2 linked regions of the Macaca mulatta genome follow. The protein of the gene in region 2 purifies or fractionates together with the protein of the main gene of each other region. This does not show direct contact. Links are inferred from orthologs where the notes say so. Each region holds a gene or a part of one and is shown on either strand. Other genes may lie near its edges.

Region 1 (7,863 bases), on a different chromosome or scaffold from region 2:
TTGAGTCTTACAGCCTAAAAACCTGTACACGCACGACGCTGCTGAAGGGACCCAGGGCCGGACATGCGAAGTGCACGCTGGTGGGAGGCACACAATGAGAAGGTCCAAACCCTGCGTACAAAAGACCCAAACCAACCCTGTCTTGATGAGAGGCTGGCTTTAAAAATTTACATCAAAGTTAAGACATTTTCAAAGAGCCACATAACCGAGAGAATGGAAGCTGGATAAAGGAAGCACATGGGGTGTCTGCTCTGCTGGCTCAGGCATTCCCAGGGCCTAGTGGGCACTGCCCTCCCTGGGAGAAAAGTGGCTATCAGATGATGAGACTTTCCATGACCTGGACTAAGAGAAGAGTTAAAATGTTACCAATGACCCCATTGCACGTAAAGTCATTTACACTAGAAAGTGGGCAACAAACTTCCGGACTCCAATGAGATCAGGTTCCAGAACATGGATGTACAGACATGGCATGAACTACTGATTGTGGCCAGGGGCTGGAAGCCCTGCAGAGGGCGGGCTGTGAGCAAGAGTGCTCTGCAGGAAATATCCTCAAAGGACTATGAAAGTAAAAGCACTAGAAATAGCTAGAGTCCTTAGAACTTTTTGTTCCTTGCCGTAACTATCCCCCAAACAAGACAGCTAAATACGTGTGTAGCGTGGATATTGCCTTGAGATTAGGGAGCCAAACGCATCCACTGTTACCACCATGGCTGGTGTCCTAACTGCCTCAGAAGAGTCCACATTCAATACTGACAATGACAAGCTAAAAATCAGTCCCTCTTGAGGGCAATTACACATCTTAGAAGTGACTATACCTGAAATTAAATATAAAGCCCAGAACAGCAAAAGAACCTCAAACCACAGCCTTATGGCAAGGATTAGACAATAAATAATGTAACCCCTCAGGACACACATAGAAATGTCAAATTAGGAGAGTATGGTAGGTAACATACTTCCTTAAAAACACCTTCCAGGAGTAACTTGAAAAGTATTACTTGCTCAACTAATTTGGTCTTTCAAAAAATCTCTTCCTGTCCTGTTTTACGCTAATGTGTAATGATCTCCACCATTTTCAACATCTATCTGTCTTAACCCAACATTATATAAGATACTTCTGGAAAAGAGTCCACTTAACTAAGAGGTGACAGCATGTGTCTGTCCCACCTCTCTGAGCCAGCTACCTCTCCTCACTGAGGGAGGAGCGGCCAGGCCAGTAGAAGAGGGAGCATGACATGGCTCCGTGGAGTTCAGCAGCCAGAGGACAGGTCTCACTTCATGAAACCCAAAGTTTCACAAACTGCTAACAAGGGCTATAAGCCCTGTGAAAGCTGGAGCCCAAATATTTGGTTTGCATCTCTTTAAGTAATTCTTGACTTTGGGCTGACTTTCCTTAACCAACCTGATGGGAGATGAAATGGACCTGCAGTCAAAGGCTTGAAATGAGTTCAAGCAACAAGAATTCAGGTTATGCGGACATGATCCTTAAAGAAAAGGCCACTTCAAAGTAAAGCCAAGAGGATCTCAGAAACCAACCAAGAGGTGTTCAAAGCCAAAACAGTCCCTGGAATCAGCCATCACCAGCAAAGGGACTGAAAGAGCAGGCCCAGGTTAGAATCAGCACCTTTCCAAGCAAAATCATGTTTTCTGCAAGGCTGTTTCAGCAGAGCCCAACACTTCCTCATCCAACGTGAGTCTAAGAGGCCTACTGGCTGCCACTGAATGACCTGGGAATGAGAGGAGGGGCTGGTGGAGACCTTTTCACCAACACCAAGAACTGGGATCTGAAAGCTATTATGCTTGTATTCCCAGGGAACTGCAACATGGCCCTCATGGTCACTCTCAAGAATCAAAATGACGGAAGGCAGGCAACAATCTGTGTTAGAGGCACGGCTGAGCTTCAGAATGCCTGCTACTAAAATCCTTCACAAACAAGAAATGAAACAAACCTGCCCTAATTCCATTGTCTCAGCTGGTTTTTTGTCTTAATTTTGAAACTGAAAACATCAGGGTTAGAAAAGTAAAAAATTACTTTAAGCTGGCAAAATTAAATCCTTCCCATCATTTTATAATGGCCACCCCCACTACTCCCCAAAATTTGTTGCCACGGCAAGAATTATAAAATGATATAATTAAATCCAAATAAGAATTTAGAAGTTGGAGACACTGTTCTCACTTACCCTACTAACAATGACTTGCATAAAGTGCTGCTAACCCTTCAGGATCAAGCATCCTGTTCTGCCTTGAGCCTGCGGCAGCTTCCATTCTGTCCAGTGTAGCTCCACAGGGGCATCTGTAGCTGGCTAGACTGCACCCCTGTGGAGCACATGTGTGGCACCAGCCTCAGCCAGATCAGAGCCCCTGTGAGGCAGGGGAGTGTCCAGGGATCTTTTTGGATATCATCTGATTAACAAATCAAGAGGGGCAAATTTAACCCAACAGGGTGTATTTTCTTAATCTGGACTATTTAAAAAGAAAAGACAAGGCAATTGACCTGGTCTTCCACATGCCACTTTTCTCAAACAGAAATAGCTTGCTATACATTCACATCCATGGGAATTTATGGGTGTTTGCAGTTAGACATAACTGCCTTTTAAGCACGTATTCTGTTCTTGCTATAAACTCTGGTTGCTATAATTTATGAGGAGAAAGACTATCACCGTGGAAATTAAGGGTTGTTTTTAAGGAGCAAGCAGTCTGCATTTAAAATGCTCCAGGGTAGTCGGCAGGCACACACCTGGGGGAACCAAAGTGCACAGAGTGCTGGGAACATTAACAGACTTGCCAGCAGAGATGCCAAGTCTACACACATTTTTAAAATCTCTGGTATTTAAGGTCAACAGGAAGAAACTGTCCTGAAACCTTCCATCCAGCTTTACCAAGCCCTGACCACTCTGGCCAGCCCCACAGTTCTGATGGAGCTGCAGAAACACAAGTCCTTTTCAAGGGGGCATTTGGAGTGGAAAGCCCTGGGAAGGTAACCCTCACACTCCAAGGCCACACTCTCCATCTGGACAAACACGCAAGCACCCCCAATTGTATTGGAAGTACTGTCAAGGGCTCAAAATGCCCACCTTGCGCTTTCTGGTCACAAGGCTCCATCTGCCATGAGCAGTGGATGTGACTTGGGGATGTTTTCACTTGCTGGAGGAATTGTACATCTCATTTGGCAGTTAATGTCTGACTAGTTGCAATCCAATTCAGATAACCAGTCATCAGAGGAGAACCCCAGGTTCTAGAGGAGTCTGCAGATGCCCATCAGAGACCAGGACCAAGTAGTCAGGGAACCTGACAAGTGTCTGCTCTATGGCTAGAAGCTTCTGGACTGGGTCACCACCGACTGTGCTACCACACGCCCACTTACTGCATGATGCAAATGAGCCACGTTTCCATTCACAGAATTCAGCTCAACTCCACAACATGTGCACACAATTAGGAATGATGCCTTCTTTTCTTAAACATAAATGATTGTCTCCTGTACCCTAGTGAGTTTTCACAGAAACCATTAGCATTTCGGCAAAAGACATATACAGTTTTCCATTTGCCCTGCCCACAGGCAAGATGTTGCTAACATTACACATTGATAAGTGCTTAGAAAGTGCTAATATTATTACCCTGGTAATTAGTATCTATAATTCCAAGGACATTTTTTATATATATATACACACATACTATTCTCTTAGGTTCTTTCAGTTTTCTTTAATACTAGTCTCTGACGTTATAAAACCTTTTTTTTTTTTTTTTTTTTGCCCTTTGAGAATTTCTAAATACAAATTGAGTTAAAAGATTGCTCCAAAATCTGCTGCTTCATCAAAAGGCATTAAAACATTTCTTATGTCAGGAAAGGATCCTACTAGTCTTTTCATTGCCATTGTCTGGGATTAACAGATAAGAAGAAACCAGACAGGAAACGGCTAACATATGGAAATATTTGCACATACCAAAATACCACTACTTTTCTTTTCTTTGTATGTGAACGGTCCCGGTAGGATTCTGTTGCTCCTTGGCAGATGTGTGGTGTGTACTATAGACTGGCTCCGGTGATCTGGCCATTATACTCTGCTGTCTCCATCTTGAGGATGTAGGGGATTATGCTGTCTATCGAAACATTGCCAATGAGGCCAGTAAAAAAAAGTTCTTCTGTTATGTTGGAGCTCATCAGCCTGAGTGCCGGCAGGCGAACGAGGATCCGGGCCAATCTGTAAAAGGGAGCGTCATTAGAAAAGGAGACTGTTTGATGCCCTTCAACCACAGCTCAGCACAGGCTCCTGGGGCCCTGTCTGTATTGCACAGAATCAAACCAAATGGATCCACCATCCACCCACCTCTTTTTTCTGATTTCAACAGTTCCTCTAATAGAAATTTATCATGAGAAAAAAACCAAACGAGTACAAAATGTATGTACAGATATGTTCCCTTCACTCTTGTTTATTCCAACTCTCCTCACCCCCACCGAAAAGAGAAAACCTGGAAATTCATCAACAGAGGACAGGTTAAAATAAACTAGGAGTCTTCATATGATGAACTGCTAAAGACTCATTTAAAAAACGATAATACAAATCTGTATTTACTGATCAGGAAAGACATCCATGACATGTTGCTCAATAAAAATTTAAAGGAGATTATAAAACAGCAAGTATAGATGTGTACATAAAGTACTGGGAAAATGTCCACCACAATGCTAACAGTTGGGCTCTAGGTATTGGGATTTGAGGTGATTTTTTTCTTATTTTTTGTACTGCCCTAATTTTCAGTGTCCCTTTAGCATTATAAATAAAGCAGTAAAATAGCTTTCATTTTGAAGAAACTTGGGGTGGAGGGTGCACCACGACACTGCCCTGGAGGGCCACTGAACACTGTGTATCTCAAGTGTCCCATGTGACCAGGCCATTTCCCAGCCAGGACTGCATCCCAGGCGAACAAGTGAAGCATGTGCCAGGATGCTACTGCAGAGTCATGTGTGACAGCCCAAACTGGAAACACCCTACCGTTTCATTAGCAGGGAAATAGGAACCACAGAAAATGAAGAAGAGTATGTATTGTTATTGTATATTACATGAAAAAAGGTTACAAAACCTTTGGTATTTTATGATCCCAATTATAATACATAAAAAATTTCTGGAAGTGAATACGCAAAATGTTAATAGTAGGTATCTCTGGATAGTGCTTTTTTTGTTTGTTTTTGTTTTTTATTTTGAGACAGCGTCTTGCTCTGTCATCCAGGCTGCAGTGGAGTGACGTGATCACAGTTCACTGCAACCTCAACCTCCCAGGCTCAAGTCATCCTCCCACCTCAGACTCCTGAGTAGCTGGGACTACAGGTGCACACTACTACATTTGGCTAATTTTTCATTTTTTTCTCGTAGAGATGGGGTCTCACTATGTAGCCCAGGGTGGTTTCAAAGTCCTGGGCTCAAACAATCTTGCTGCCTCAGCCTCCCAAAGTGTGGAAATTATAGGTGTGAGTCACCATGCCCTGCATGCTTTTTTAAAAAAAGTTTTTTAATAGTGCTTTTTAAAAAGTTTTCTTTTCCCTTTCTAGAACATTCTAAGTTTTTCTACAGTGAATACTACTTATTTTTAAAATGGGAAAATGTATTCATACTACGCAGGTAGCATTCCAGCATCAGCATCCATTCACTCAGCCACAATGAGTCACTGTGCTTCAATCTTGCAGGGCACACAAAGGTGTAAGAGACCTGCCATTTCAGCTGGGCCTTAGGGGCTGGCTAAGATTTCTATCAGCAGAGATACAAAGAATGGGGAGGGATGGGAGGTATTTCAGGAGGAATAATCAATATGAGAAAAGGCACAAGGATGGGGAAGAGTCAAACATGGATATTCCAGATAGTAAATACCAAGATAAAGAAAAAAATGAATATGCAAATAGGATGTAAAACACTCTAGGGCCTTTTCTTTCAGAACTCTCTCTGAGTGAATTTCTGAGCCCTATAAGAAAGCCTCCCTTATCATTTTGGGCTCCAAGTAACCTGTCATCACCCTAACCAACCCTGGGTCCCTGACTGGACAGGAGTGACTCATGTTTTCAGACACATTATATCTACTTTCCAAGGCAACAGAATTGCTGATATTAAAGTGATTCTAGAGTGTGCTGTGGCTCTGTCAGCAGCCCCAGAGGGCCATTTCCAGCCATCTTTTGGCCATGGGAACTGTGGGTGAGCAGGCCTGTGGCCTCCTAGGAGGACAACCTGACTGCACACTTGGCTAGATGTATAAATTCTGGGTGTGGGTGCATTCCCTGACAGTCCCATTCTCTATGTATTGAGGCTGAAGTTATTCTAGATTCATGATGAAGTCTTCGATGATTCCAGTAGAAAATGGATCTTGCTTTTGTAAAAGCCACATCTGGGCAATAGAAGTATGCCAAAAGGAGAAGCAGGCTCTTGTCTACCAGCAGGACCAGTCAGCCATAAGATACCCCCAGTCACACCAGAGAAATGGCTGGGACTGTCCTGGTTTTAGCGCTGAAAGACTAAGAGCTGGTTACTCTGCTGGGGGGCAAAATCATTTCTTTTGAGAAGCACTGGGCCAGAAGGGGTAGCCCCCAGGGGCATCTCTGTTCCATGGGGCTCCTGGAGACTGAGGTCTGTGCAGAGGACACACGTCTGGGGAAGGTGGGCCCGTGTGTCTTCCCAGGCTGTCAATTTTGTTCCAGTGTTTATTTTAGGGGGACATGGTGGGGAGGGAAATAGGAAATACTTTACTTGAAAGGGTCTCAGAAATTCATGTAGCTTCTGGTGGGTCAGAAGTTGTCATAGGAAAGCACTCTTCCATCTTTGGCTGGAAAGCCTGCCAATGCATTCTGACCTTTGGCAGATCTGAACAATTTTCCTGCCTAAAACGGCATGAGAAAGGCTTTTTTTTTTTTTTTTGAGACGGAGTCTCACTCTGTCGCTCAGGCTGGAGTGCAGTGGCATGATCTCAGTTCACTGCAACCTCTGCCCACCCCGCCAGGTTCAAGCGATTCTCCTGCCTCAGCCTCCCCAGTAGCTGGGATTACAGGCGCCTGCCACGGTGCCCGGCTAATTTTTTTTTTTTGTATTTTTAGTAGAGATGGGGTTTCACCATCTTGGCCAGGCTGGTCTTGAACTCCTGACCTCGTGATCCACCCGCCTTGGCCTCCCAAAGTGCTGGGATTACAGGCGTGAGCCATCACACCTGGCCCTAATTTTTATACATATATTTTTGCTGCACATTAATTACAAATACTACCACTAATTTTCACCCAAATAAACTTTTTTCCATCAGTTTATCTGAGGGCAAAATGACTTTATGTAACTCATCCACTCCTTTATGGGGTCAGATTTGATTTCTGTCAACAAGAACTTTTCTGTCAAGTACTCTAGCACTGCCTCTTCAATGGATGCTGACCAGAGAAGCAGATCTGTCAAACTATTCTAGACAAGGGAATCTCCATGAGAACTCAAGCCTCATGTACAGTGTTAGCCCTAGAACAGGCCACGTAGCATCTGCTCCAACTCCTCCAATTAAAGAGTAGCAATCTGAGGCCTCACTCACAGTCACACAGCAACACTGGAATCAGCCACAGTCTTGGCCCTCCTGCTGGCACCGTCTACACTCTACACCACCTCTAGCATTCAAGAATTATCTCTAGCTCTTGGGAGCTAGGAAAAAACAAAGAAAACTCAAGAATTAGAGTGTGATCCACTGGAGGCTCTATCAGGCTGCTAAAAATGGAAAGGTTAACATAATTTATATTAGAAACTACAAACCCAGCCACATTCCTTGCGGCCCCAAGCAAGAGTGCATGCCTGAATGCCTCACCGGTAGGTGTCTTCCGAGTAGGTTTTCTGAACATAGTCCTGCAACTCCATCTGTGCCTTT
Region 2 (8,607 bases):
TTCATATAGATCCTCTTGCATCGTTAACAGATGTCCACACAGGACACAGGAAGTGCACGGTTTTGATTATCAGGGTATGCCAAAATAAACCAATTCCTGCATGTGGAGGACAGACAGCTGTATGAAGCAGGATCCTCAGTGTCTTCAGTTGGCTCCATTAGACCAGTGGATTCACACCTTCCGGCAGCTGCCCCATCTCGAGGGCACTGGACATGCTGGATTTGGAGAGACTGTTATGGGATCTCAAACCATTTGTAATGCTAAGTACCACACTGTGGGGCCACTGCACATCCATACTTTGTGCCTACACATTGGGAGGCACTAGGCTCTGGGGAGAGACACATGTTTTCAAGGAAGGCTCTTAAACCCAGAGAATGCTTCTTGTCTACAGCCACTGTCATATCATTCTGACTTCTCAGTTCCCTCACTGTCCCTCTCCTTTCAAATATTTTTACTTCCCAAATCAGACAGATAAATGTTTTTTGCAAGTACAGAGGTATGTCAGTCATCACCTTCTCTCTCAGATGCAATAAGTTGAATTGTTTGTTTTATATATTTTTGTAGCTTAGATGTTGACTTTATCTAAAGGAGTATCCTTGAAACAAACACTTTAAAAATGTAAGTACAGAAAGGTAAGCATGCTATTAGCAATTTTTTAAAAACTTTGCATGTGGTTACTATCTATATATTTGTCCTTCTATTGTTTATCAATGCCTTCTAAATGCACCACGAGTACAGAGAAAAAACTGTGTGCACCTGGGAGAACTTGCTTGATGCCCCTGGCGTCAGTTTACCACATTTCCAAAACCAGTGGTTCTGACAGCCAGAGCATCTTCCAGATCTAAGAGATCATAATCATGTATCTTATACAAAGACCAGAAATGCCTAGAGTATACAGATTTTTAAAAACTAGTATAAGCAGAATGACACATAAACAAAGCTTCAGTCATATATGAAGAAGTAGTAGGGTGGATTATTTTCAGGCAAAATGAACTGATTCCTTATAAAATAGTAATAATTATCCAAGGTAGAGAAAATAATTTTGTCTTAAAAATCAAAATCTTGATTTACTTCGGAAGTTATTTTAGCTCACTTCATTTAAAAAAAAAATCTATTTTTTCAATTTGGTCTAGCAAGGTTTTATTTTAGGAATAGTGAAACTGACAGGAGGTAGTAGAAAGCCATGCATTAGTGAAACCCAGGCCCCTTACTTCCTTCATCTTTCACCTGCACATTTCCGGCACTTTCCATCTTGGAACTTTGTTGCCTGAACCACCTCTCCACACTCTTGGGAGTTAATAACTCCATATAGACAATTTTTCCTCCGGAGGACAGAATTGCTACTTCTTCAAAGCTATTGGGGCTCCCAGATGCTGCACAGTGGGGGTGCCTCACACTCATCTCTAAGAGTGGCTGTTTTGGCACCATTTTTGGCTGAAGTTTTTGTATTGCATTTCCATGTCATTCGGTGTGATGTGTGCCTGCCAGATATTCTGCCTGCTCTCAGTTGAAGGCCTTCCCAGATTGGGCAGCTGAATGTACTGCACAGCTGCCAAAATTCTAATTCAAGATCTAGAATTCTAACTCCTGCTCTTTAGACCCTTGTCTGGCCTTGGCCTCAGTCCCCTGCCAACTGGGTCCCTGGCTCATTATCAGGCCCACCAGGGCCCTGCCCCCTCCCTCATTGGGACCACGAAACCATTCTTGGCACCAAACTGAACTTCAAGACACAGCTGCCCCAGCCCCACCCAAGCCAAATCTCATCTCAGCAAAAGTTTGTCACCTTGTGAGCTGTAAGACAGAAGAGATGAGAAGAGAAAATGATACCCGTGATGGTCAGATCATAAAACTTCCTGTAGCAACAGACATATTACATGTACCTTTACTCTAAGAACTTGCATGAAAAGCAAACAATCCCATTATTAGAAATAACACTAGATAGGGATGCATAGAGTTTATGGAGGGAGGAATACTATTTCTCCATTTATCTGCACCAGAGGGTAAGTGAAATTTGCCGTAAGGAAAAATACTAAATTCAGTATGCACATATTAATATTAATAAAAAATGTACTGTTGGGTCATAAACTGCTGATAATGTGTAGTATTTCTTAGGCACCTGAAAACTGCTATGGCAAATAGACACTTTACAGCAGAAATATGACTGCAACTGGAGGAGGGGGTGGGGACCAGAAAGTAATTGATAATCAGCAAAATGCTGGTTTTCAGGGAAGCTACTAAATTCAACTTAAGTGGTTACCTGGTCAACATTATGGTTTAAATGCTCACAGGACGAAATCGCTTCCTTTTTAAATAAGAGTCACCATTTCCCTCGCCGTTGTTTCCATTCCTTCTAGCCTTAACCAATGCACCGTCCTTTCTGCCGTGGCTGAAACGAGGTTGGGTTAATTACCACACCTGAGATGGTGGAGTGGGTGCAGTGGGGTGCTGTAATTTCGGGTGATTAAATTATTTTAGCTTTTGTTTTCCTAGAAGGAGCAGGGAGTATAAAAAACGTGGTACATATGTAAAACACAGGCAAATGCACTTGACAACCAAGCACTCTATTTTGAAATTTAAATAAAGCTAAGATTTTCTTCTGGCCTAGAGGGAAGCTTCATTAAAATCAATTAGTACAAACCTCCGGAGAATGCAGACTTTTTCTAAAGAAGGTTTAAAGAAGAAGGTGCACACAATTACCTTTCCCGGGTCCCCTGTGAATGTGTCACACCTAGACAGGTGGCTGAGTACAAAAAAATGTCCCCGAGAGGGGCCAGGGTAACTCCCTGAGTTCTCCTCGCAGGAAGGTAGGTGTAATTAATCCATGTGGGTGCATTAAGAACGTCATATACATAACCAAGGAGGCTCCAAACAGATGGCACGGATCGCAAGCTGTAAAGGGCAGGCCTAGCGAGATAAAGTTGGTGGCAGGGCTCGCAGGTGAGGCCTGGGTCCGGGCGCTGAGGTTGGGGCCGCACAGCTGTAGCCGCGCGCCCTGGTCCCTCCTCCCAGCTGCGGCGGCCTCCCCCCCGCCCCCGCCCCCGCCCTCCCCGCGCCGCTCCCGACGCCGCCGCCGCAGCCGCCGCCTCCCCTCTGCCTCCCGGTGGCTCCTTGCTCTCCTTCCATCTCTCTCGCCCCCTCTCCCTCCGTCCCGTCCTCGCCGCTCCCCTCACCCCGCCTCTCTCCCCCTCCCCCAGCCCCTCCTCTCCTCACCCCACCCGGCCTCCCTCCCTCCCTCGCCCGCCCGGCGCTCGCAGAGCCGACACCAGGGGGGCTCTCGATGTAGCACCATGACAGGCATCGCCGCCGCCTCCTTCTTCTCCAATACCTGCCGATTCGGGGGCTGCGGACTCCACTTCCCCACCCTGGCCGACCTCATCGAGCACATCGAGGACAACCACATCGGTAAATGGCCCGGGGGTGGGCGGAGGTGCCAGGCGCGCGGAAACTCCTGCCTGGGCGGGGAGCCCCGGAATGGCCAGGGGTGGCCCGCAGGGAGGGAGGCAGCGGGCCGGGGAGGGCGCGTGCGAGCCCCGAGGTGGGGGTGGCGGGATGCGGGGACGCGAGGTGCCGGGGGGGCGGGGAGCGGTCTGGGGTGGGGTGGGGGAGGGGGCGGGCGCCCCGAGGTGCCGCGGGCGGGCGGGCTGGCGGCTGGGGGACTCAGGGGCGTGCACGCGGGCTGCGAAGTGGTGGGAGCGGGGAGCGCCGCGGCGGGCCGGCGGGGGGTGCGGCGGCGGGGCCGAGCGCCGGCTCGCGGGGCGCGGGGCGGAGGGCGCGGCGGGCGGCGGGCGCCGGGCGCTGGGCAGGGGCGCGGAGTTAGTTGGCCCGGGTGGTCGGAGCAGCCCGAGGCGCTGAGGGCAGCGGGGGGCGGGCGCTGCACGCAGCCGGGCGCTTCCGCCCCGGCTCGAGCTGTCAGGGCTCGGCGGCGGCTGCAGCCGCTGGGAGGTGGAGCGGGGGGGCGGGGGTGGCTCCACCGCGGCAGCCATTCCGCTTCCTCCTCCCGCCGCCGCCGCCGCCGCCACTGCGTCCTGTCAGCGCCGGTTGCTAGGTGTGGTGCATCGGGAGGGGGCCGGGGCCGGCGGCCGCGGGCGGGGGCCCGGGCGCTTGCCCTCTCTCTGGGAGGCGGCCGAGCGACCCGGGCGGGGCCGGGGACGCGGGCCCGGGGGCTCTGGGTGCCCTCCCGTGCCCCGGCCTGGCGCGGACGCCCGGGCGCTGCGGGCTGAGGTCTTGGGTGCGCCCGCGGGCCGCGCCCAGCGCCCCGGGGTCGACGCGCCCTGGAGGCCCTTGCGGCAGCGTCCGCTGGAGAGCCACCCCCCGGGCCCATGGCCGGGGATTTAAATGCACCCCGGCTCTGCGATTTGCCTTTCTAATGGTGCTAGGCCCGAGGTGCGCTGGCTGCGCCCTGGGACCGGCGGCGGCCTGCGCAGTGCCCCGGGCCCGGGGGACGCCGGGGAGAGGGCGCCCCGCGGGGTGGCTACTTTCCCTTCACGCCTGGACCCCTGGACCTTTCAACAAATCCTCTGATTTGCAGAAGTCCTTGCACACATTTTCACACTTCTATTCGGAACCGCTGCTAAGGGAGGTGGGCCGGGTGCATCTGGCTCAGGCGGTCCAACCACCTGCGGAAGGTGTGGTCGACGCCAGCGAATTGTCCTGCGTGGGCTGGAAGGTGAAGGGTCCGAGTGGTGTCCCAATGGGGCTGTCTAATCCAGAGAAACTGTAAATTGCCCCCAGGAAGTCCAAATGAATGCCATGGATTCAGCCATGTGGATGCAGCTCACGTTTCTACAAAGTTGAGAGAATAAATCACGACTGCTGTGTATTTATGCAGGAATAAAATGAGGCAGAACCCTATGCTCCTTTGCTTAGTATAGTGCTGTCTCTGCACACAGTGGGTGCTTAATAAGTGTTGAATGCCTGTTTAGAATGTGATTTGATGGGCCATCCGGAATAGGAGATAATCATGGGAAACGTCTACAAAATGTCTTTCAGAAGAAAATTCTGTTGAGTAATTGTCCACGTTTTGAAACTTTTCAAGTTTTCAGGTGTCCTTGTAATAGCTTCTTCCATTTCCTCTGCTAAAGGTGTGACAGAAGAGCTGGGCAAGTTTTGGTAGTCTTAAAAGCAGTTTAATGGAGCAACAAATTTGCTGATTCATATCGTGATTGAATAGTCATTACTGAAAGTGCTTTAAAGTATTAAATCAGATTTTTCATGATGGCTAGTTTAAAATAAAGCGAAAACACCAGTACTGTGAAGTTCTGGTAGAAATGTTACTAGTTTAAGTTCTTCCCCTTACTCCCAATAATAAGTAAAAAATAAGAAATATAAATAATGCTATAAATTCATATGTATGATATAAGTAATATAAATAAATATCTCTTGACTTAAGGAAGGCTGTCATTGCATATCCCATTCATTCTTGCTAACAGTTATTTCAGAATAAACTATAATTTATGTAAGCTGAGTAATAATTTTACCCCATTGCCTGCCTACTTAGACAAGCTGGTTAAAAGACAGTATAAATTCTATTTATTAAGATGTGTTAAAGACAGTTATCCTTCTTGAGGAGTTTGTATGAGATGGTCTAAAACTTGGTGAGTCATGAGGTTTTTTTAAGTGTAGAAATTGTCCTAATATTTTGCACACATTTTTTAAAGAAGGTTAAGAGTTCGATACATTTTCTAAAACTCAACTTTGAAGTAATGCTATCTCATTCCCAGAAGGCTAGTGTTGTCCTTTTAATAGTGAAAATATGAAAAAATTAAGTTTACAGCAATAGCAGTGACCTAGGCGAACTGTGTCGCAGGGCTAACACAGTTGAAAATAGTTTGAACCAGCAAACTTTATGAAAAGCAAATGTTAAAATGAATGAACACTTGCAATTCCCAGGATGAAGAGGCTCAAACTATTATACACCTCTGCTGGGGAGAGGCCCTTTACTATCAAAGGCAGCCCTATATGCAGAAAGAAGTAAGAATTGATCTTAAGAAAGAATAAAAATATCCCGATTAGTAGATAGTGTCATAATACACTTTTGATGAAGAGACATGGGTGAAAATATAAAGCATTTAGTGAAAGTTCTAGACTGGTATTGTTATGTGATATTTATCGTTTGTAATTCAATCTATAAGAGTTTGGAGACTGTTATTTTTAATGATTGACTTACTGATTTCATGTCTGTTGGTGAGTGGTTACCTTAAAAAGATTCAGGAAAAAAATAAGAGATGTGTTATTTTGCTTTTAATTTGTTAAGCAGTCTTGTTATTTAGCAACCATGAGTATTAGAGATATGCTTAGTCGAGCGTTCCATTTTGGGGGCCTATCTGGGTTATTACCTTTAGCCGCTAGTAAAAACCCTTAAACAGCGATAAAATGAACATTTATGGGAATGTGGTGTGTTTCTTGCTTGGCAGATTTTTCAAGGCCTGTATTTTTCATTATCAAAGTATTATGTTTAGTTTGGATTAATTAAGCACATTAAGTTGAGAATAACTCTCTGTTATCTTATACGTGTATGCTTAACTTTTGTTTTTAACTATTTTCCTCTCCCCATAATGAACAAGGATTTGGGGCTTTGGCACCAAGGGAAGTGTGATTTTCACCATCCACTGTTTTAGCTCTTTTCCCTCCTGGAAGGGTGCTGTACTGGTATTCCTGTTTTCTTTCTTGCATTTCACTGCTGGTTCAGTACTGGAGTACCTGTCTCAGTGTACACACTGAATATCCTAGCTAAAACTGTCCCCCATTCCCACTTAAATTTAAATTGCCTAGAAATCCCATAGCCCTGCAACTGTGAAGTGCTTCTCCATCAATTTTGTTATCAATTCATTCATAGGTCTGGGTCTGTTACATGGAGGTGGGAAAAGCAGGTCCGGATTTGCTTGCTTCTTATTTTGAGTAGGTATTTGAGTTTGTAGAAACACTCTTGGTATGAACATCCTAGATAGATGAAGTTAAACTGGTAACCGGGAATCTTAGAAACACCAGGAGCACTAAATTTAGCACTGAAGGTCATGCCCCAGGCCCATGAAATGCCTGCTGCAATCCTGCATCCCAGTGCTGTGAAATCGTATGACTTTTCGTCTCAGAAACACAACTGTTGAATCATTCTTATTTATTTGGTGCATTTTTAGAAGTACCTCTGCATTTTGAATTTATTTATGTAATAATATATTGAGTCCCTGCTTTATGCCAGGCAAAGTTATGAGCACTTGATATTTTTTGGTTTACAAAATGAAGATACCACTCTAGGAAGTTTATATTCTAGGGTAGGGGGCCGGACAATAAACAATTGAAGTATGTGATATACAGTATGTTGGGAGGTGGTTAATGATACAGAAAAGAGAAAAACTAGAGCAGGGTCTGGAGGGTTGGGAGGAGAAGGTATTGGAATTTTAAATAGATTGGTCAGGGTGGGCCTTGCCGAGAGGCTGATATGGGAGACAAAACCTCGAAGGAGGTGTGAGAGTTAGCCGTGAGGACATTCCGGGAGCCAGCAGTGCACAGGCCCCAAGGCAGGACTGCACCACTTGAATAGAAACACAGGAATCTGACCCAATTCAGTTATTCGTGTGATAGTACCAGACTAGCAGGTCATTCAGAACTCTCCTCAGATGTTAGGACTCTCAGCTTTGCTATTGAAAGAGATTTCCCTGCAAGGGCCCAGTTAAGGGGCAGAGTCTCACTGACCAAGAATGGCTTGCATTAGCTATAACTTGGTTCTTAACTCCAAATATCAACAGGTTTCTTGTTGTGAGTCTCTACTTGTTAGTTTCCTCATCTCCAAAACCCAGGTAATAAAGCTATAGTGCTTCATTTCATAGTATAGATTTATAAACCATCTAATTAATAAAGGTCAAAGTTTCCGGAAAGAAAAATCAGGCCACTTACTATCAAAAATATAGAATTTAGCTCCTAAGATGATTTAGTAAATATTTGCATTATCTTCTCAAAGGAGCACCACAGTGTACTAAATAGATAAGTCATACAGTCTGTCATTGGCCCTTATTACTCCCACTTTTAGGTGAGCAAACTAAGGAACAGTTTATAATTGCCTAAGCTTTCGTGGCTGGTTTGTATGATTTGGAGATTTGAATTCCAGACAGGTATGCAAAGCTGAGCCTATGCCAGTTGCCAATTAGGTGAAGAACTCGACAGTCCCCTCCTCACCTCCCCTCACACGATTGGTCTGTGTTTCCTCCTTTAGAAAGTAACTGAACTCCACATGAAGGTCATCTGAGCAGTGGCATAGTGAACCCAGACTGCTTGGGGTTGAACACACATGTCTGCCACTTGTCAGCCGTATGACCAGGGACAAATTAACCGTACTGTGCCTCCTCTGTAAAATGAGGATAGTAGCAGCACCCATCTCACGGAGTGGTTAATGAGGATTAAGTGAGATAATATATGTGAAGTATTTATCTACAATAATAAGTTGTCTACGTCATGTAGTTTCTTGCCATTTGTGTATCTGCTAAATAAATATGTAATCCTACTGTTAAAGTCTACCTTCGAGATTAACATGGGTTGTATCCACCTATTTGTGGTATTGTTTTGGGCATTTTATAACTGTGTGACATCATTGGGTTCTTCCTGGGAAGGACTGAC

The links.
Region 1: the proteins of JAZF1 (region 2) and NR2C2 purify together in Homo sapiens (affinity purification with mass spectrometry; 4 studies listed by BioGRID and IntAct, with this or other methods). This does not show direct contact. The link is inferred for Macaca mulatta from reciprocal best matches to the Homo sapiens genes JAZF1 and NR2C2.

What each region holds. Positions count from the first base shown.
Region 1 is NC_133407.1:153,847,286-153,855,148, reverse strand, and holds part of NR2C2 (nuclear receptor subfamily 2 group C member 2), read right to left. Parts: coding exon 7,804-7,863; intron 4,197-7,803; coding exon 4,022-4,196; 3' UTR 1-4,021. UniProt on the Homo sapiens protein: Orphan nuclear receptor that can act as a repressor or activator of transcription.
Region 2 is NC_133408.1:100,162,553-100,171,159, forward strand, and holds the start of JAZF1 (juxtaposed with another zinc finger protein 1), read left to right. Parts: upstream 1-3,092; 5' UTR 3,093-3,287; coding exon 3,288-3,402; exon of another isoform or gene 3,403-3,937; intron 3,938-8,607. UniProt on the Homo sapiens protein: Acts as a transcriptional corepressor of orphan nuclear receptor NR2C2. Inhibits expression of the gluconeogenesis enzyme PCK2 through inhibition of NR2C2 activity.